Drosophila melanogaster: one gene and its partners. The protein of the gene in region 1 interacts with the protein of each later gene in a pairwise test. Each region holds a gene or a part of one and is shown in the gene's direction. Other genes may lie near its edges.

Region 1 (3,572 bases):
TATTCAACGAACAGGAACTGGAACTTCTCATATCCGGCCTGCCGGATATTGACATTGAAGATCTAAAGGCGAACACCGAGTACCACAAGTACACCTCTAAATCGGCGCAGGTGAGACCATGATTGTGCATCTTCCTCCATCCTCCATCCCTCTCTAAACCATGTATTTTTTACCCATTCATTAGATTCAATGGTTCTGGCGTGCACTGCGTAGCTTTGACCAAGCGGACCGCGCCAAGTTCCTGCAATTCGTCACTGGCACATCGAAAGTGCCGCTGCAGGGCTTCGGCTCGCTGGAGGGCATGAACGGGATTCAAAAGTTCCAAATCCATCGGGACGATCGATCCACTGATCGCTTGCCCTGTGCACACACCTGGTGAGTAGGGATCCACAAGTCGCATGAATTGTTTGCAATGTCATAGACCGTATTAACTTACCCATCTCTGATTGCAGCTTCAACCAACTGGATCTGCCCATGTACAAGTCATACGACAAGCTGCGGAGCTGCCTGCTGAAGGCCATACACGAGTGCTCCGAGGGCTTTGGCTTCGCCTAAGGTGCGACAACTGTGACGGCAGCTTCAAGCACCAGCCGGCAGAGCCACCAGTAACCAACAAACCATGGACGCAACACTATTCCTACAACGCCCTCAAATACACGGGTGCAACGATGAGAAATGCATAATTGATTTGAATTGAACAGAACAGAAGAGAACAGAACAGCCACTGCAAATTTGCGATAGCGGCAACAGAAACTGCATACATAAACAGTACATATAGTTATATAGTATATATAAAAATGTTGAATTAATTATTAATTTTCGCGCCTATATATATATACAATATATATTTTCTTAAATTTTCAAAAGAAAACGGAAGAAAACTAAGGAAACCTAACAAAAAAAAATATAAAATATAAAACTGATACAGACGCGAAAAGTATATTCGATTTAAAATTCTCTGCGCAACTCATCTTTTTTTTTATTAATTTTTTGGAATCTATCTCTGTCGTTTTGCACATTTTTATCAAAAGAAAAGGATTTATATAAAGAAAAAAAATACACTGACACATTTTCATTTACCCAAACGCGAAACCGAATAGAAAAGGATTAAACGTAGTTTATAGATCGCAAATGCACATAAACAGATTACACACTTGGGTTACTTGTTTACTTAAGTGAATGTACGTACCGAAGATAAAGGGAAGCAACAGAAAAAATATTTAAATGGATTAAAGTATTTTGATGTAAGAGATAAGTCCTTATGTTAATGCATTTTATGTTTACCTTTGAAATAATGAGACGCAGATGTAACTTAAAGAATGTGGAATAAAGAATAAGCTCATTTATCACAATAAATTTTCAGAAATCACTTCACATGCTCATTATAAATGCGGCTGGAAAGGATGGGTACGCCATATATATAAATAAATACATATATAAGGTCTTAATGTCGATCTCATTTAATTTGGGCGCCTTTCAATTTGAAATTCGATTCTATCGCAACGGGCAACGACAGATCGATATCTCATGCACAGCAAACCGATCGACATTATCGATTGTGACATCGAATTTTCGGACAGCTGACAGCTGCAGTCCGTATGGATTTGTTTATCCGAAAAGAACTGAGCCTATCCACGAGCAGCGTGCTTGAAGATGTGGCGCCGCACTGTCTCAAGCTACTCACATGGCTGCACGATTGTCAGGAGGAGATGCACTCCGAGCACCGCCATCTGCGACTGAGCCAATCCGTTGTGGAATCCCTGCTAAAGGCTCACCTGTACCTGTTCGAGTGCTATGATCGCTTCGGGCAATCGCTGGCCGAACGCTGCGATTGCCGTGGCTTCTTCGCTAGCTGCTCTGCATTGGTGGATCGACGGAAGTGTATTCGTGAGCTGTGTACCACCATCGTGAACACACGAAAGGGAGAAACTCATGCACCACTGCTTCATCTTTCGCATCGAACGTTGGCCGAGATTCAGCCTGCGTGGAGTGAGATCGGTGATTTGGACTGGTCGGCAATACGCCAATCGGATGCGCTTTCTTCCAGCGATTTTATCAATCCCGATCTTCAGCAGATGCGACGGCTAGTCAAGCGGATTGGCCGCTTATCCAGCCTTGAGGACATGCAGACCGCAATAAAGCGCTCCATGGAGCTGATTGAGTACCAGGTGTGGCTGCAGCTTTTTAGGGAGCCAAAGGACAGCGAAATTCACAAGGATTGCTACCTAATGCGCCACATGATCTGTGACACTTTATCGGAGGGCGGATCTACCGCTTGCACCGGCTTCCTGCACAATATCTTTCTGTTCGTATCGCAATCCGCCAATGAGATGAGATTCTGGGCCAGTATGGAGCATGTACGTCTGGCCGGCAGCCTTATTGCCTACCTAATCGACCATTGGAATCGCCACCTGCCCTACCTAGACTTGGATGAGATGCAATTGACCGCTGATGCACCAGTCACGGCTGTCTCGCAGCTGCCCGTGAACGAGGCCACATACATAACCTACCTGATGCTGGCCACCGGATCCATATGTCGCCGGCAGTTCGCCCAGCAGCTGCGTGCCCAACTACCCCCCAATTCCTGGACACATTTGCTGGAGCTGCTAAATAAAGTGGCATTCGTTTTCACTTAACTACACTACGAGTTTAATCATGTTTCGGCAAAAACTCGCAGTTGCCATCGGTCAGGCGAACCACCTTCTCGCCCTTCTCGGCCAGGATCTCCTCGATGTTGCGCTTGCCGTCCAGATCTGTGAACCAGTTCAGATTGTCGGCGATCAGGTGGTGATTGGAGCAGCCCTCGCAGGTCACGATAACAACGCCGCGTTGGTATGCCAGCTTCGAAATGGTCTTCATGTTCCGGGTCTGGCACACCTTGCAGGTGTAGATCAGCTGCATCTTGGCCTCCAGTTTCGCCAGAGGAATGCTATTCGTGGCCACCGTCTTGTCCGCATCGTCCTGGGAGCAGAGCAAAATAATTATACTTAACTTTTTTGTTATACATAATTTTAAATATTGCATTCCATTTATAATATTTTAAATTACAAATGTAAATAACATTATTTAATATCAATTGGGTAGTTTATTTGTATTTACAACTGATTTCCAAACATACCACTGGCTTACTGCAGTGTATACTGCGGCAAATGCACGTGTAGTTGTTGCTGCTGCTAAAAACAGCTGTTTGTGTTTTGGTTGCAAAGTGATGCACTTGCAACTGCAATTGTGGACTATTTAAAGCATCAATTTGTGTTCTTCGGGAACTGGTAAGTAGTGCGCCTCTTCTCACACCTGCGCTGATTTTATAAAATTTTTTTAGGGCGGACATATCCTCGATTTTGTTGATATTATTTAACTCAATCGAAAAGTGTGAAATTCATTTAAACTTAGAGATGGCACCTCCTTTCATTTCAAAACTAGTCGCGAGTCACGATTTTAAAAAGTTACTATAGCTGTCACTGGTGCTGATAAAATTTGCTGTAACTCACAGACATTAAAACCAATTGTTAATATAAATTCTACTGTGAAATATTAAGTTAAGTTATTAATGAAGTCCACCTGGACTCTGG
Region 2 (7,767 bases), on another chromosome or scaffold:
GTAGCATGGAGCCAAGCTTGGTGATGCTCTTCATCTGATCCCCAGCCAAAGTGGCCAATGTTATGGCCAAGGATATGGAGTTAAACCTGCTGTCTATAACAATCTCTCCGCGTGGCTCTGCAAATTTCCTAAGGTTCTCTCTCAGGTAATTGAAGTTCTCGCCCCGCTGATCGAAAAGCAATCGAAAGCCATTGCGCCCAAGTGAGAGTAGCGTCATCAAGACATCTAGTGACTGGGAACCACTAGCTCTCCCAGCATAAGTACTGGCCACATCGTGGAGCACACTCTCATTGAAGCTGGCCACAATGGCACTACCCACTGGCACCAGCAAATTCTTGTCGCTGCTCTGAACGAAGTAATCAATGCGTCCGACTCGATTGGCGCACTCCAACTGATTAACGATTTCCTTTGCCTGCAATCCATAGGCATTATTGACCAGATGGGGAATCTGCCATTGTTTGGACAACTTGGATACTTCGGCAATGTCATCGCTGTTTCGTGGAGCAAAACAACTGGTGGTAGTGTACAGGCAGAGGATGCTATCCACTCCCAATGACTTTATCTTTTCTCGGAATAAATCTACGTTCGTGTTCAGGGACTCTCCTTTAATAAGGCAGGGGATGACTACCGGCACCAAGCCCGTTGCTGTGATGGCCTTGAAGCAGGACTTCTGATCGATGCGGGACCAGAGCACATACCGCGCCCCGGGTCGCCGCTTGCGAAGACTCTGCAGGCACAAAGTCAATGTCATGCCTGTACACATTGGCACCAAAAAGCAGCCAGCACAGCTGGGCAGTCCGATTCCCCGAATAAGGTCCAGAATCAGGGCGTTTGTGAGACGAGCGAGCAGCGTAGAGCCAGCTGCCTTGGGTTGTGCCTCTAGTAAGTCTCCAGATCTGCCGATACCATGACCGAAGTTGTAGTGACGGCGAGCCACGAGTTCTGAATGACAAATTCATTACGGGGGATATCGCCTCCTGATCCCTTACTTACTGCAGGCTATACGCGCCTCCCGCTCTCCTAAACCGACCTTATGTGGATAGTTATTGCTGTCCAAGGAAGCCAGCATGTGCACCAGCTCCTCGATACGTTCATCGGACCAACCATTTTTCGGAAGCTTTCGCTTGAAAAGAAGAATTATCCATGGAGTTATCAATTAATTTGGGTTTAATTTCGGTTTGATTACCTTTTCGAGCAGCTCCTTAAAACTGCGCTGCTTACTGCGTTGCGCAGCCAGTCCCAGTTGCAAATAGTTGTCCGGCACTAGTTTCTCTGGTATATTGACCTGCTCAAAGTTCATTTGGCTTTTGGATAATGTAAATATAAACTAAAAGTAAACAATGTCTATCGCCGCTTTCAGGTGCGCAAAAAAAAAACAGTTAAATTTTCTTACTGAGCAAGTAAGGCGGCGATGCCATATTGTTTAAATAGCTGACAAATGGACACCTTTCGATTTTGTTTAAAGTGGAGGAAAAATATATAATATATACAAAGGCGTATTTTCGAAAATAAACTCCTCGCAACGCTACTAAAATGGACTTAACTTAATTTGTTGAATTTGTTAAGGTTAAATATGAATTTTGTTAATGCAAACATGACTTTTGTGGAATCTTTGATTCCGTTAAATGTCCGGCAGCGCTGCACCATTTTCAGGTCCGGTTAGTGGGGCCAGCCAACAGCTTCACCAAAATGTTGCCACCTTTTGGACACCTTAGTGAGCTCTGTACCATTGCGTACGAAGCAGGCCACGGTCATACCGCAAGTCATCCAGAAGAAGCAGCCCAACAGCTACGCAAAAAGTTACTTTTATTCGCAGCAAAACAGATTTTTTTGTTTTAATCGTAAGTATAGGAGTGAAAAATAGCGCTAGAGTAGACCTAAGTACACAGAAAGACAAATAGGGCGAGTAAAATCGCGGTCCTGGTCATTTCTCTGGCCTTGACCAATCCTTTGTCTGCGCTTTCGTTGGAAAAGGGGTTATGTACGAACTGCGTGCGTACCTAAGGCCAGATTAGTCATCGGGCAGTCATATATTCATGCAAAAAATCATTTGGTGGCCGTCGGCCTTTGTTCGACTGTACCTTGCTCATTATTTAATAAGCGCGACAGCAATATACACACTTTGAACCCCCATCCCACATTTTTTCTCACCGTTTCCCCCTAATTTTCGTTTTCCCTGTGCCCATCATTCCGCTTTCGCCATGTCAGTGTATCGCTTCAAAATGGCGCCGAACCACATGTCTTCGTTCTCGGCTCGTCCGCTTCGTTCGTGCGCTCGTGTGTCGTCTCATTCGCTCTCCGAATTTCGTTTAACAAAGTGGTGCGAGCAGAGGGGCGCTGGATTCGAGGCAAACAACACATATACCTAGTAACCGATTGTGATAGCTGTTAAAAATAGAATTCCGGACGTAGTCTGAGCAAAATTGTTAACGTTTATTTTGAAGGCATAAAAGTAAATTCCGTTACAAAAAATTATATTTTCTATTTGCTCTCCCCTTTTCTTTGTTGTTGTGTGTGTGCGTGCGTGTCAATTTTACCGTGCAAAAGCTCGCTCATAAGAAAAGAGAGGTAAGAAAAGAAGGGATCTGCCATCTGTCTCTTTGTTTTTCGTCGACTCGAGTGAGAAGCATTAACCAGCCAGCGCTTCGTGAGGTTAAATTAAATTACATATTCTCGCACGTTCGTTAGTTGTGAAAAAGCAACAGGCACACACACACACACATACACACTACACTCGCACACGACTGATTTCAATTGATTGCAAGGACACGCGGAAGCGGCAAACACAGGGCCAGACTTAATATCCTTGGGTGAAAGCGTAAGTTGCCGTTCCTTATATGTACCAATGTGTACTTGATAGCCTAGATAATTTAATTTTTGCGTTTTCGCTGCTATGACAATTTTCCCGGCCAACTAGCACACAGTCATCGGCGCGTTTTTATGTGCACTACATGCACAATGACCTCATTTCCCCAGCGCGCTACCTAACACAAGTAACCACGTCAAAATTTCACTTTATTCTGCGTTTCTATGTCGATTTCTTGGTCGCCTCACCTCTCAATTCTTTTTATTTCTTTTGTCGACATTATCAAACTGTAAAATGCACAGTGGGTATGTGTGTGTGAAAAAGAGAGATAATTAAAAAGAGATGTGAAGTGTGCCCGTTCTCCGCTCTTGAATGTGTGTGTTTAAAGCACATGTACGCTGGCATTTTTAGGTTAAGGCTTTCTTAGGCTCAGTTTTCACTAGAGTTTCCACTTAAACGCCGGTCATAGGTGAAAATGTTGTAGTTTGATTATGAGCGCAACGAGAATACATATACAGGGAACGGTTTTCCACCGCTTGGAGACCACCTTAGTCATCTTACACTAAAATTAAGATAAATCTAAAAATGAATCTAGTGGCCATGATAATTTAGTCTGGTCAGAAATAAAAACTTACAGGGGCAAACCAAAACCGCTTCCATCTCTGATCCACATTTACCTTTGCAGCAATTTATTGTATGAGTCAAAAAACTGAAAGACCAGTGCTATCGGGTCAACGCATCAAGACCAGAAAAAGAGATGAAAGAGAAAAATATGACCCAACGGGATTCCGTGATGCGGTCATTGCTGGTCTCGAAAAAACTGAAGGCGACCTGGAACAAATCTCTAAATATCTAGACAGCGCGGGCAACAAGCTCGACTATCGTCGCTACGGTGAAGTTCTCTTTGACATATTGATTGCAGGAGGTCTACTAGGTAAGTTTTCCGCTGCAAGTAATGTGTTTAGTCTCTTCACTGACCCTTTTCCATCCTCGTTTCAATTGCAGTGCCTGGTGGTTCTATATCTCAGGATGGCGAAAAGCCGCGCACAAGCTACTGCATCTTCGATGCGCCCGAGAGCATGGAGAGCATGCGCAACCATGAGCAGGTTTGTAATCTTTTAGCAGGTCATACTTAAATTATGATTATGAGTAAACGAAAATTGGTTTGATTGCAACACAAGTTGAGCTCTTGTTGTTTTCCAAGCTAAAACGTTTATTTACTACTAAATGATTTTCTTCGGATCCACTTAAAAGTATGAAATTCGTGAAGTGGCTGCATATCATTAGAGCTGACTATAAAGTTTCAAAAATGTAATCGGTGTCAAGAATATGCAATAACAATCAACACATTTACTTGTCTTTGGTTTGTCCTAAACACTAACGTTCTGAAGATTTCTTATGTGTCAACAACTACTCTTTATTCAACACTATATATATATACTATATGCATGCAACCACTGCGAAGGTCACGCTATTGAATCAAAGTGCATATTATTAGAACCGGTTATGCATCTCAACAACTCAATCGGTGTCAAAATATGCAAAATAAAAAGCCACATTTTACTTGTCTTTATTTTGTAAAATTACTACCGCCAGCAATCTAAAGATTTCTAATGTTGCAACAACAAATACAAAAGCCTCCTGCGTGAGAACACAGTAAAATTTCACCATCCGCTAACAGGGGCAATCACACTTTACCTTTTCCAGGTATTTGTCAAGCTCATCAGACGGTACAAGTACCTTGAGAAAATGTTCGAAGAGGAGATGGGAAAGGTTCTATTATTCGTAAAGGGCTTTACTCCTAGTGAACGCATCAAGCTTGCGCGTATGACAGCGCTCTGGTTAGGTAAGTCTTAACATTTATGTTCCTGTTCCTCCTGTGCATTGCTTGCGTCTGCCCATTCGGTCTTTCAATTAGTTGTTTCGATAAACACTTGTTCAACTTGCAGCTGAGGGGCTAAAGTAATCCTTCACTTGGTATACTGACTCTTGGATGAACTAACCACATCTAAGGGCCACGAGCCCAAGGACAGGATTGCTAGCCGGCCGTCTAAACTTGTTTTGCGAAAACATTTGACTAACCCTATATTTAACCCTATTTTTGATCAACAGTCAACGGTTCTGTACCGCCAAATGTTTTACTGGTACTAAACAACGAGCACCTAATCAAGGATGGCATTGCATTGGAGTTTCTACTAGAGCTGTTCCAGACGTTCAAGCAAGAGAAGGGCATTGCATATCTGATTCAGGCGCTTAAGAAGGGTGGACTGGAAAGCAAGTAAGTTTTTAGTTGTGATTTGTTTTTAGCCCCGGAATGTTCTCAGGAAGATGACTCAATGATCCAGTTGTGCATCTTTAATTGATATTCCTAGAGTAAGAAAGTTCGACGGAGTTTTACCCAATTCGCAAATGACCTTTCGCTTCATTTGGGTGCTGATTTAATTTCGTACACCTCAATACGTCATTTAAGGTTGATTATTGAATGCGTTAACTTAAATTATTAATAATGGTTCCACTTTTTCACGTTTTTCCAGACTTATGGACTTTTTCCCACCGAACAAACGTACTGAGGAATATTTTAAACAAGTTTTTCTTGACAAAGAACTTAACGAGATCGTCAAGCTACATAAGGCTCAGGCTAGCCAGGAGGCGAAGCGTGAGTTGCAGCAGGCGCTCATCGATGATATCAACGATGAGAAGCCATATAATGAGATAACCTCAGACATTAAGGACTTCTCGCAGCGCACCAACATTCCCGATCATGAAATAATTGTTATTGTAAGTCGATGCGTAAATAATCCAACTGGATGATTTCCTTACTAAATCTCATGTATGATCTTTACCAGATTTGGTCCACCATCATGTCATTGGGCGAATGGAACAAGAAGGAGGAGCTGGTTACCGATCAGGCTGTTCGTCATCTGAAGAACTACTGCCCACTGTTGCAGGCTTTCGCCTCGACCGACCGTTCGGAATTGGCCCTAATCTTGAAGGTGCAGGAATTCTGCTACGAGAACATGAACTTCATGAAGGCCTTCCAGAAAATCATTTTGTTGTTCTACAAGACCGAGGTCCTGTCCGAGGAGATCATCTTGCGCTGGTACAAGGAGGGCCACTCAAACAAGGGCAAAATGCATTTCCTTGAACAAATGCGAAAGTTTGTCGAATGGCTTCAGTCAGCCGAAGAAGGTTAGTATGTTTTGATAAATGTTATCAGCGTGCAATTTTTGAGAATGGTCTTGTCTTAAATAGCTTGATTCTGGTACGTAATTGCAAGAGAAATTTGGGTTTTTTGCTTGCCTCGTTGATTTCCATTCACTGAACAACGTAGGCCAATGAAAACCTGGACAATATAAATATTCAAATTTTGCTTCCTTCGAAACTTTACACAGTGCACTTTTTGAGAATGGTCTTGTCCTGGATGACATTTTCATTGTACAAAATTGCAAGAGCATTTGAGTTTTTGCTTGCCTTGTTGCCTCACAAAATCCGAGCATCAAAGGCCAATGAAAACTTGGACACAAATAGCTGACTTCACCGAGCATGCTTCTTACCAAGCTTTTAAAGTGTTCCCATTATTAGGAACCAGTTTTAAAGGGTTCATGTACAGTATGCAAAAGCGAAAGAATGATTGGGTGCCCATATAACCCAATGCCGTGGTTAATTTGGCCAATAATCGTTTGGACAGCTGCATTTGTCCTAGTCCGCATGCACAATCCCCTCATAAAAGCTCCGAATGGTTGCTTCATTCGATTGAGCCAAGCGGGGAGTTGTGCCAAAGCATTTGAATGGTTGGGTGTCCAGATAACTTTCCATAGTTAAATTTGGCCAATAATCATTTGGACAGCATAACCGGAGCTGCACATCTTTTCAGTTTGTACCAATTGAAGCCCCCATACTAACATTTTGTATTCTATTCTCTTTCAGAATCCGAATCTGAGGACGAACAAAAGAATGGCGAGTAAGAACTTGGTTGATGGCTAAATGAGGATGAACACAAACGGAGCCGCCCTTTAGCATCCCCATCCAAAAATTCGAAACCAGCACCTGCAACAGCCAGTCGAACTATATATAAAACTCACCCCTATGAATTAATGTCATTTTGAAAACTCCACCTATATAAAACTCAAAAATTCCAACAAATAAAGGAGAGAGTAAAAAAAACATGCTAGAAACTAAACGTTTGCAGTCCAGTCTGATATCATTCACGAATCTACACTTAGTTCCCGTTTGCAATATACCGGCAAACCCATACTATATATGTTAATAAAAGTTTGAAGTGGAAACAGCAGCACGCTCCAAATTAATAGAGAACATCTGACCGCCAATAACGTCGACTACTACGACCTGCAGTGAGGTAGCTGGAGTTCCGCGGAGTTGATGCAACAAATAAAAAACCAAAAGAGATACCACAGAGATGCTTTGTGTGAATTCGGGGATGTGTTCCGTTTGCATGTTCGCATTATTCATCAATAAATTTTCCTCATATATGCGTTTAACAAGTAGTACTCACTCTCGAAGGATTTGCCACGGCGATGAAAGGAAATTAACAAGTTATATTTGAAAGATCAATATCATTTAGCAAAGTTTCGTCGAACAAAATCTATGGATTTACGAAATATAAGATACATGGACTTAGCACATGTATACGTATAAAACCATTAAACAACCCAAAGTATTTAACTGAAACGCTGAGAAAGCATTGTATTTAAATTTGATTGGCATATAGGGGCATATTTTTGTTTAACAAATTTAGTTGGCATTATGAGGGGTCTAACTTCAAATCAGTTTTTTAAGGTCTTAAAAAGATGTGGTCCGATTCTATATTTAAAAGTTTGACAAAAAACCAAATCCGAATGCTGGATCCCCATTTCTGCAACTTCGAATATTTTGTACGTTTATTGTTACAGACATGGCCAAATCTAGTCGTCATTCATTTGTGACAAATATTACAAGTTTTA
Region 3 (3,597 bases), on another chromosome or scaffold:
TCCACACTCGGGCTGGGAAAATGTTAAGTATATTAAGTATGGTACATGTAACATGAGTCAATGCCATTTAATGTCTATATGTACATTTAGGCACTCAACTTTACATATGAAAGTCGTACACCGAAATGGAAAACCACTGAAAATAAGTAGCATCTCCATTCTAGCTCTAATTAGGAAAATCCTGCCCGTCTGTCAAATGAAATTGCTCAATTATCCCGCTCTGCGGTCGCAATGGCTCAATTGCCGCAGCACAGCAGACCCACCTTGGGATTGAGCAGCTCGTTGTCGTCACGTCGGCGCAGCATGATCCGCTTGGGCAGGCTGTTGAGGTTCAACTTCAGCTTTCCATAGTCCACCAGGTTGGCCAGCGGCGAGGAGGGGGAGTGATGCTGCTGCTGGTGCGGATGCTGTGTCTCGGCGACGCAGCAACTGAAGAGCCACTTGTTGCTGCCACATCCCTTTGCGTGCTTGCCGCCTTGGAGCCAGCAGGAGAAGCTCAGCTTGCAGGGCCATACGCCGCTCTGGTGGACGCATTCCGCGGGCACCCCCAGTAGGGTGTTCAGAATATCTGGGCGGGATTGGGTGACTAGACGTGGAGTTCCTAGCGCGCGTGCATATGTACTCACTGGCTTGACTGGGACTAGACTGACAGATGAGCAGGAGGAGGCACAGGCACAGCCACAATAGCAACTGCATCTTGGCGTCGGATTATTCGAGGTCACTATTCGCACTTCGCTTCTCCCCGAGGAGGATAACACTCAAACTGAAACACTCATCAGAATGGACTATAACGCTTTTGTTGCCAATGAAAGCATGACAGTTTCTTATTCACTTTTAAGCTGGCTCTGCGCTGCCGTTTTCTTCTTACGTTTCCTATTATTGCTGCTCCACTTTTACTAGAAGTCGGTGCTGTTTATGGGCCTGTCTGGGTGACTCACGGAGCTCTCGGGGAGCTGCTCGGCGCAAAAGAGATCTGTGTCCTTGATAGGCGAACAAGTTTCGGGGTCGCTTGCAAATGGGTCGCTGTTCGGGGCTAATGGATTTTTATATAACAATCATAATGGGAACCATGCCAATTCTGTGCCGACTGACTCGATGACACAGTTTTCCGTTCAGTTTTCCTTTTCCCAGCAGCCACGCACCTGCATTTCACACCACATCTTTCGATTCCGATTTCTGAGAAGTGTTCTGGTATTCTTCCGGGGAATAAACCACAACCATACGCGCCGCTGGCCAAACGCAAACTAACTTCACGCCATTAGCCAAGAAAGACGCAGCAACAGGTTCATCTTGGTTCTGGTTCGGACTTCTCTTGCTGCTGCTGCCGACAGTTTGAAGTGACTGCTGTCTTAAGTTGCTGCTGCTGCTGCTGCTTCTGCCTCATATGTGCTGGCCGATCTTCTTCATCATCACTACTAATTATTACGAAATGCTGATGACGCCGCCAGCGGCGCAGGAAATGTTCTCCCAGTCTATTGTAATTATTTTATGCGACATAATTGCAAGAACCGCTGCCATCTCTCGCCGGAATGGGAGCAGCTCATTTCACTGGCGGCAAGCGGAGTGCTCTTTGGGGTTAGGCCATCTAGACAAGGGAGAATGGGGGCCACACATTCATTTAAGTAACTTTCTAACTTGTCGCCACCTGGCCGGATTAGCATATTAAATAGGGTTCTTAAGTGTCGCCTATATTAGTGCCATTGGGTGGATAGGTGAAATTGGATTTTAAGACCCAAGAAAGTAAAAACTCATTTATCATTCTTCTATGTCTCTAAACCGGCTAAAATGACGCCGCATGCTTGATTGAGATACAAATATATTTGTTGGTGTTAAAGAAGCAGGCCCTGATCCCAGTCCTGTCACCTGGTTTTCACTCGTCTAGCCTTCAGTACATCGTTGTTTGTTCTGTTGCAAACACAAACAGACCCCAAACAGCAGATTCCGGCAGAAAGCACGTTCAGTTGGAAAACAACAAACGGTAACATGGCCCCCAACGATCCATCGCATCCTGGTGGAAAGTCAACCGCCGTGGCGATGGCCACCAGCCACACCATCTCATACGTGCAATGCCAGAACCTCAAATACAACGTCATTATCCTCGGCTGGCTGGGCGTGATCATCTCCACCGTCATCTTGGGCAGCTCGGCGCTGACCATCCACTTTCGTCCGGACATCGAGCTGCTGCTAAACCAGTGGCCCATGAACTTGGTCCCGGTCGCAGAACAGCAGCTACTGATCAATTGTAAGTACTCCCTAATCTTAAGCACTAACCTTGGAATTACCTAATGATGATTACTTGGCCACAGTGTTGACCATCTTTAGCTCCATTGTGTACGGACTGTCGCTGATCAACATGGGCGTCAGTCTGCTGCTGCTGATTGGTATTGCCCGGGTAAGTAAAACAAGTGGATATTATTGCATTCTAATTCAGTTTGAATCAGTTGATTGGCAAACGTTATATATGTACTTTCATTCAATTTAAAGCTTCACTATAATTATATATGTCCTCGACAGGACTCAAGCTGCCTAATTTATCCTTGGCTGATCTATCATGGCGTTATTTTTGGCTTTGGTCTTTACTTGGGGGTTTTCTACGCGACCGCAGGTCTGTTCATTGACCTGTCGAGCTTTCTAATGTGTCTTCTGGTGTTCAACCTTGTGCTGGGTAAGCCGACTATATCTTGACCCGGAGATCCCAATTATTTACGTATGCTTTAGTTATATTTTATAAGATCTATCACGAGGTCTTCACCCTATTTCGCGTGATGGAGCAGCTGTCGAAGGATGGCGGAATGGGCGGACTCTACTACCAGGATGCGGAGCATGGATGGACTGCGGCTGGGGTTCCCTTTCAACATGTCTATGTGCCGCGTCTGCCGATGCAAAAGTAACATGCACATTAACCATTTCCAGACCCAGACTGCAACACCAACAGCAACGAATTCAAAAAATTAGAAAAATATATCATTTGGACTTTGCTTGTACTATTAATAAAACTATAATACTATTACTAAAAAAGTACTATAAATAAACAACTCGAATTCATTTCAATATTTGTATAATTTATTTACACACGAAATGGAGTTCATAAATAGTTTTAAAATTACATAACAGCGCATATGACTAAGTAAATTAAACCGTAATTATCAGTTATAATTAATTTAAGGCTTAGGGTGCTTGCAGATACAAATAGATACAGATATCGCACACGTGTGTATCTATCTCTCAGATACGCACTGCCAATCCTAACTGCTAACTTGTACTGCGCTAATTTGTCTCTTAATTTAAATTGTATTTCTTGTGTAACCATAAATTAGGCGGCGTGGTTCGAAAGCGGAGCAAGGAGCAGAATGAAGTGAGTTATGTACAAAACAATCTGTGGCCCACTTAGCAGGCAGGTGCAAATGCGAATGCGGATGCGATACGATTGCGATTGCGATGAGAATAAATTAGATGTTCATCGTGAGTCCGACGACGTAGGATACCCAGTCCACGGTCTTGCTGACGCTGTGATAGATTCCCGGCTGACCGCGGGACGCGCAGGAGTAACCAGCAGAGACCACACCTAAAGGATAGCAATCGTATTAGTTAATTTTC
Region 4 (7,002 bases), on another chromosome or scaffold:
GTTTCATTCAAGTTGCAACCGTATCGCAATCAAATCAATTAGTCGCTGGCGATAAGAGTGATGACGAGGTATACCGTATTCGGTATGAGTCGTGTGCTCCATGACTTCCATGACTTCATGCGACCCGAAAAAAGTCTGATAATACTGTTTGATACAGCGATCAACTAACTGGGCAACTGGCCAAAGCGTTTAGGCCGATAAGCGTTAGGAAGTCGAGTGGCAATTGCTGCCTAAAGCTTTTACCAGATTTATGGTATTATTATTTCGCGGCCCGGAATTAAGTAAAGTTCTTAATAAAGCGATGAGGAAACGCGACCGACAACCGGGCAGCAGCACTTTAAGGAAACTTGCTCTAAACGGCTAAAATGCAATTGCCAAATTTGTTAGCCTGATGCGGACAATGTGTGATATATATATATAACTTCTCGATTTGTGGGCTCGCTTTTGGGGGAATTTTAAAACACTTCCCCGTTTTATTTTCGTCAGCTTCCGGGACGGTAAAGTACCTTGTGTATGACGATCATGCCCAAAAGCCAGCGATTCGAAAAGCCCGGCTTTCAAGCGATTCTCGAAGAGAATCAACACAGAGAATTCGCATGAGAAAGAGCATCAATATCGCATTTAGCACTCTACGTGATATCGTCGACACTTTGAAAGATATATGCAACTTTTCCCATCGACTTTTTGTAACCGGGGAAGTTATGGTTTTTATCACCCGTCTGCGCTTTTCAGACGATGCGTCAGTTAAGCCAGCCGGCACTAAACAGATTCACTCGTCATTTGGCACGAACTGCGGCCGGTTAATGATGAGTTATTTGCATTTGGCCAAGATACACGATCTACGAAATGCAACCGTTAATCTTCAGGGCCGAGTGTTATTTAAAAATATAATAAATTATGAATAAATTATGTTTTGGGGGTATTGTCAATTACTTGGCTACACCATTACTCTCAAAGTTCTCAATTTAAATTTGCTACATTAGTGATTTAGGCAAATTAAAATGTGAAATGAAAACATTGATACCGAATGTTTACAATACACATTCTTCTATTATCGAAGCCTTAATTTTAAAAATAAATAAAAACAAAAGGAGAACAACAAACAAGACTCCACACCTTACAAAAGTTCGGCTTATCAGTTGACCTTGCGCCCAGTCTTTAGGCATTTTTTTGTTTCTGGGTCACCAGGCGAATTGAATTAAGTTGCGAGCCAAAGCGACCTTGGGGGCTTACTCGACTGGAAAATTTCGTTAAGCTATTGCGAATCGGAGGTTCTAAGCCCGCAAAAATAGCGCAGGTGCCAATAGAGTGAGCCAATATAGGGGCCACAAAGAAATCTCTGTTAATTGCTCGGCTCTTTCTGATTCGAATTTGTTTGCTTTTCGTGTTCTGATATTGAATAATAATCATGGGACAACCATGATAACCATTCAAAAGTGACGAATATTATGTAAATGCGTGAGCGATTTTAAGTTGAAGCGAGTTTTCAGTTGGTTTAATCTCGGGATTACGATTAACAATTAGCTGACTAACAATTCGCTGCTTAATTATCGAGGAAGAGCAAACTTCTGAGGGTCTGAAATAAAATGCAATAAAAAGGGTGTGAGGAATTGTACTGAAAAGTTCTGAACATTTGCATGACGGGAAAAGCCGAAGATCCGTAGTTTTTATCCCGGAAGAACCCATTTCACCTATTTAAGAGAACGAGAACAACCAAGCCAGTGGAGTTAAGAGCATTGGAGCTGGCTCTCTTGGCGATCAATTAATTTGGTGCTCGTTTGGTATGCATTATAAATTAATTTGTTATCAATATAGAAAACCGGTAAACTTGCCTTACGCCACGCTCTTCATCTGTCGCCCCCTCTCGCTCTGTCGGCCACATGCCGTCCCGCTCTGGCAGTCACTCTCTTACGCATCGAAGCCACTGACGTCGCAGTAGCAGCGCAGTCCGCTTTTAAAACTCTATAAAAAGTCTCAAACAAATCACAAGATTTTCAGTTAAATTTCAGAATTCGCAAACTGCGGTCGCCTTGATATGAAAAATTAATTAAATTTCAATAAACGAGAAGCGCGAAAAACCAAACGCAAACGGTCCAATTAAACTAGCATAAATACTATACACTAAACAATTATCTAGAAATATATATAGAATATATTTATTTCGAAATAACCAAATACCATGTTCCCCAAAAGTCACATCGTTTTGGCCAGCTCTTTGCTGTTGTTAATCGCCCTGCCAGGTAAAAACAAAAAAAAACAAGCATTTTGGGTATTTGCGGCTATTAGAATATCGTGAAAAGTGTCGTGATAACTTTGATGTGCATTATTTTGCCCAAAACGGTCTAAATCATGGGCATATATCTGATATCAGATATCAGATACCAGATAACGCCAGAAGGAATCATGCGATCTGATAAACATATCGTGAGGATTTTATAGCTGCGCTATAAATACACGTTCGGTGTCTCAAGTGTTGCTATTGCACAGATACAGATACATTTGCAGATACATTTACAGATTGATGTATGCAGTTGCCAAAAAAAAAAAAACCAACGAAATGTATTCAGAATTCAAGATCACGATCATTTGGCCATAATATCTTGCATATCAAGCAGTGACATTAAAAAAGCTCAATTTATTTGTTATTATTCAACTGTCATAAATAATGCAAAAATTGTTTTTTTTTCCATTCAACCAGTAATTTTGTGTGTTGCGGAAATGTCATCCAAGCAGCCAGCTCCCACCCTTCGATTTCATTATATGTGTATAGCATTATCATTGGGGCGGCCCTCTCTAATTTATGCCTCAGATGAAAAGGAAAAGTCAGTCGGGGAAATTGTGAATAACGAACAAATATTAGTTGACATTGAAACGGGCTGGCAGCTGCTAATTGAAAATGTTATAGTTACACTTAACACATTTCGCAAAAGGCGGCCCGAAATGGAAAAACTCGTCTGGCCATTAGCACCACTCAGAAAATAACCGAACCAAACCTGAATTTATAATACGTTTTCACGATCTTTTGACGCAATTGCAAATGATTTCATTTCATTTGTGTTTTTTTTTTTCTTGATTCGAGAAGAGTAACGTATATTATATACCAAAATCCACTTCAAACTTGTTTGTTTTCTTCATTAAACGGGATAAGAAATCGGTAAATCGTCTAGAACGACCTTTGACTTGAGAATTTTAAATGGCTTTTCAACTACTTTTCAAAACAGCATTTGCATCACGGGGTGTTTTATGGATTTACCCAAGTAAATAATAACCCAACCAGTTGCACCCTTGTTTAAGGGGAAAAAAATCACCGAGTTGCACCTTTTTATTATGTGGACATTATAATAACAATATTAATGAGAGAGAGTTAAAGGTGTACAAAAAAATTTAAAATGGCAGTGGCGCTTATCACGTGCTTTTAAACCCCAACAATGTTGTCGTTCGGCTGGAGAATTTAAGACCCTGCCTTCAGATCCCCAAAACTAGCCATCAATCACAATGATTTATGATAAATTTCCAACAATAAATCAACACAGGCCAGGCAGGGATGTATTGAACCATTTGATTGTGACGATTTAACGAAATTATTTTAAATATTATTAAAGTCTGCTGCAGTTACTCACTTAGCAAGAACTTACCCTTTCGGCACGAGTTGTGATATGAGATATCATGTTATCAATATCATATGGAAGGCCCGTCAAGAGGAGATCAACTTCCATGTCGGATTATCATATGACTCATTTGTGGTACTCAGTACTCCACTAATATTTGGATTTTATGGAGGGTAGCCATCTCCGCTGATAAGGCAATTAATGCAATTACGCCAGTGTTGCCACGCCGATAGGTGACTCTATTTACCTGTTGGCACCTGGCAAATATTTACCATTTGCTGCGATGACGATAACATGCAAATGGAATCGATTCGCTGGTGAAGAGCGCCCATATAAAACTAGATAAAAAAAAAAACAGCTACTTGCGCTAGATCAAAGGCTATGGAAAAGCACATACAACGTAATACTAAAGAATGGGCAAATAATACGGCAAATACTTGGGATTTAAATTGATTTATGGTGCTCACATGTTCTTTATTCTTATTGTCATTTATCTTGTTTCTGTTTGCCAAAGCTGTAAATTGAGCACTTTTAAGTTATATGTAGATATCTACGCGTCCAATAAAATGTGTGCGAAAAATGGAATAGCACTGGTTTATACGCCATAAAAATGTATAAAATTTAATCTGCGATGATAGTTGAAGAGGTGTATATATATATAATAAATACTCTGCTGCTTCATAAAATATATACATACATATTTGCATAAGAATATCTATTTAGTCCACTTAAAAATCGTAAACAAGCCTGGCACTCTAAATTAGTTCGATTTATTTGATTTAGATTGATAAGCAGAAAAACAATGACTTTATTAAGGTTTAATGGTTTCTTTAAATTGCAGTAATTCGCGCCGATCTCATGTGCTATGTGTGCGATAATTGTGCCCAGCTACCGAAGGATGCACCCCTGCTGGCGTGCAATGAGGATTTCTTTAATCCCGGCGGCAGCACAGAAGCCTCCACGGTGACCACCACCGAAGCGAGCACCACTACGACGCAGGAGACTACAACAACACCGGAAACAACCACTTTGATTGTGACAAGTGTCCAAACGGATTCACCCACAACGGAGTCCACGACGACGACAGTGGAAACCACCACCAGCGATCCGACCACCGAGAGCACCCAGAGCACTGAAAGCACCGAGGCTCCGATACCCACGCCGGGAACCGCCGGACCCGTCGAAACGACCACCGGAGTGCCCACGCCACCCGCTGAGGATCTGTCCGCCATGTCGGTGGCCTTGAACACCACCCGTTTGGTGCCAGTGAATAAGGACGAGGGGACCACAACGCCCACGTCATCGCTGGCAATCAGGCAACGCAGGGCGGTGATCGATACCGACTACACCTACCACTGCTATTCCGTTCAGGTTTCAGGTGAGTCTGCATAAATGATATCCTTCAGAATAGATCATTGTATTCAAAATGGTTAAATAGATCCTTTTGCGTAGATTCTATAGAAATCTAAAAGAAATTATTAATCTTTTTATCTTTCATCTGAAATTCTAGTGAATGGCACAATGTCGACGGATCGCGGCTGCTCCCGGGTGAGCACCATGGAAGGTGTTTGCGAGCAGCTAAAGATTCAGAACAAAAACACGGAGCTGGCCAACTGCAATCCGTGCAGTATGAACGCCTGTAACGGCAGCTCGGCGCTCCAGAGCTCCATTCTGGCCACCCTGCTCCTGGCCATCGTGGCATTCGCCCTGCAGCGCAACTAGAGACACGATCATCATCCATTACCCGGTGCTTTAGTCTAGTATTCCTCGTTTCTTTAAGGCGAACTCACACACTCATCAGTCCGCGCTCATAGTTAAGTGATTCGAAAAGTCGAAAATCGAAAATGTAAATTTAAGATATGCACAAAACCGAAAATCGAAATATATACAATCGTATTTGTATACAAACTTAATCTAACCAAATGTAACGCTCCAGGCGACTTAATAAATAATGTGTAATTATTAGAACGTTCGTTTTATTTGAGCTCAACTGCAATTGTCAGTGATTAGTAATTTGAAAAAAAGTGATTTATGACATCACTCTGCGGCACAGATAATAAACTCAAATATCCTAAACTTTATAACACTTTCGGTTAATATCTTTAGAAGAATTTTTTATGGCTCTACTTTTATATTGTGGAAGATAAATGGAGCTTTAAAAGTACAGCGCGATCACATCCTGTCAATATAATGAATGCTATATACATACACTCCATGCAACAATAAATTGTAGACAACTTTAAAAGTCTCTAAACTCTGAAGCTTAATGTCGAGATTTGAAATTTAAAATTATGGTTAGACGACAAAATGTTTGTAGATTTCTAAATAGAGAAGGGGAGGGAGTTCCCAATACCTTACCAATGCCAATGTCACGTATACGCCTAGTGGTACGATTTCATTTACTGAGCAAACATAGTATGCTAAAAAACGAGGCGGTGGCATACTTTTAGGCCATTTATGCTAAACAAATTTGCTCAAGACAAGCCCAAAGACAAAATCAACAAGGAAATCAAACACAAAAGAAACAATGCTTTATCATTGATTAGATAAGATTTCATTAAACAATTTCGGGACTTTGGGAAACACTAAACGCAATAAATATGCTAGCACGCGCTTATCAATAAAATGATTTTATAGCGCCAAATAAATACCACTAAAAAGTGCGCGAATAACTCAACAAAACCATTTAAAGTTTTCCAAAAAAAGTATCTAATCGGCTTATCTCGAATTTTAACCAATTATAGCAATATTAAAACTGACCTGCACGTTATACAAATTGATAAAATCCGAAATCCATTTAGACTTGGCGACTCCTTTCAGAATGTTGTCAATAGATTATGAACTGCATGCCCACACTATTGTATAGATTAGACTAACTTATCAGGTGTAATTGAATGAAAATCAATAAATCATGTTTAAGTAATTTCTACGTAGTTCAACAGCTAAATAGAAAAGTTAATAAAGGTCCAATGTCCAAAGAAACCATGATTTTGGTGCTCATCTATTAGGCAGCTGTCCAAAAATGTATGAATCATGATAAATAAATGTACATAATACTGTTTATTTAACCACGCTAGAAAGCAATGAATCATACTAAATAAATGAATTAAATGGCATTTGGCTGCACTGATATTGCAAGATTATTTATCGATATTCTTTTGGCAACGGGAACGGCCAACAGAAAGTACAAATACTTACTTGATTTACACTCATAAAAAAAATGTATTTAAAAGCAGTGTACATTTTTCCTGAATGTATTTTTCGGAAAAAGTTTTTTATATTAACGTGATATTTATTTATCGTAGTAAATACAAATAAATAGATATTGTTATTTAGATGTTGCTGTTTGCAATCGGAGCTCTTTTTTCCAAGTGCCATATACGTACAACTTTTC

What was found.
Region 2: the proteins of CG8191 (region 1) and kra interact in a two-hybrid assay, tested with the Drosophila melanogaster proteins (one large-scale study listed by BioGRID).
Region 3: the proteins of CG8191 (region 1) and CG13747 interact in a two-hybrid assay, tested with the Drosophila melanogaster proteins (one large-scale study listed by BioGRID).
Region 4: the proteins of CG8191 (region 1) and CG7778 interact in a two-hybrid assay, tested with the Drosophila melanogaster proteins (one large-scale study listed by BioGRID).

What each region holds. Positions count from the first base shown.
Region 1 is NC_004354.4:15,730,593-15,734,164, forward strand, and holds CG8191 (uncharacterized protein), read left to right. Parts: upstream 1-1,585; 5' UTR 1,586-1,598; coding exon 1,599-2,636; 3' UTR 2,637-2,649; coding exon of another isoform or gene 2,650-2,961; 3' UTR 2,962-3,071; downstream 3,072-3,572. Other genes in the region: HUWE1 (HECT, UBA and WWE domain containing E3 ubiquitin protein ligase 1), read left to right, coding at 1-110, 185-375, 453-555; CG12379 (uncharacterized protein), read right to left, coding at 2,650-2,961, 3,119-3,331.
Region 2 is NT_033777.3:5,595,089-5,602,855, reverse strand, and holds kra (krasavietz), read left to right. Parts: upstream 1-1,719; 5' UTR 1,720-1,841; intron 1,842-2,284; exon of another isoform or gene 2,285-2,818; intron 2,819-3,282; exon of another isoform or gene 3,283-3,491; 5' UTR 3,492-3,502; coding exon 3,503-3,740; intron 3,741-3,811; coding exon 3,812-3,912; intron 3,913-4,078; exon of another isoform or gene 4,079-4,218; intron 4,219-4,289; exon of another isoform or gene 4,290-4,433; intron 4,434-4,513; coding exon 4,514-4,652; intron 4,653-4,698; exon of another isoform or gene 4,699-4,841; intron 4,842-4,918; coding exon 4,919-5,084; intron 5,085-5,116; exon of another isoform or gene 5,117-5,260; intron 5,261-5,340; coding exon 5,341-5,584; intron 5,585-5,652; coding exon 5,653-5,995; intron 5,996-6,024; exon of another isoform or gene 6,025-6,159; intron 6,160-6,197; exon of another isoform or gene 6,198-6,330; intron 6,331-6,346; exon of another isoform or gene 6,347-6,496; intron 6,497-6,515; exon of another isoform or gene 6,516-6,655; intron 6,656-6,733; coding exon 6,734-6,771; 3' UTR 6,772-7,492; downstream 7,493-7,767. Other genes in the region: SecS (Sec synthetase), read right to left, coding at 1-942, 994-1,123, 1,187-1,300. UniProt on the Drosophila melanogaster protein: May be involved in memory formation.
Region 3 is NT_033778.4:9,015,984-9,019,580, forward strand, and holds CG13747 (uncharacterized protein), read left to right. Parts: upstream 1-1,831; 5' UTR 1,832-1,983; coding exon 1,984-2,242; intron 2,243-2,306; coding exon 2,307-2,392; intron 2,393-2,514; coding exon 2,515-2,665; intron 2,666-2,718; coding exon 2,719-2,891; 3' UTR 2,892-3,049; downstream 3,050-3,597. Other genes in the region: CG13744 (uncharacterized protein), read right to left, coding at 1-12, 264-568, 627-696; CG8170 (uncharacterized protein), read right to left, coding at 3,450-3,565.
Region 4 is NT_033779.5:8,344,626-8,351,627, forward strand, and holds CG7778 (uncharacterized protein), read left to right. Parts: upstream 1-1,994; 5' UTR 1,995-2,179; coding exon 2,180-2,240; intron 2,241-4,449; coding exon 4,450-4,986; intron 4,987-5,118; coding exon 5,119-5,330; 3' UTR 5,331-6,487; downstream 6,488-7,002.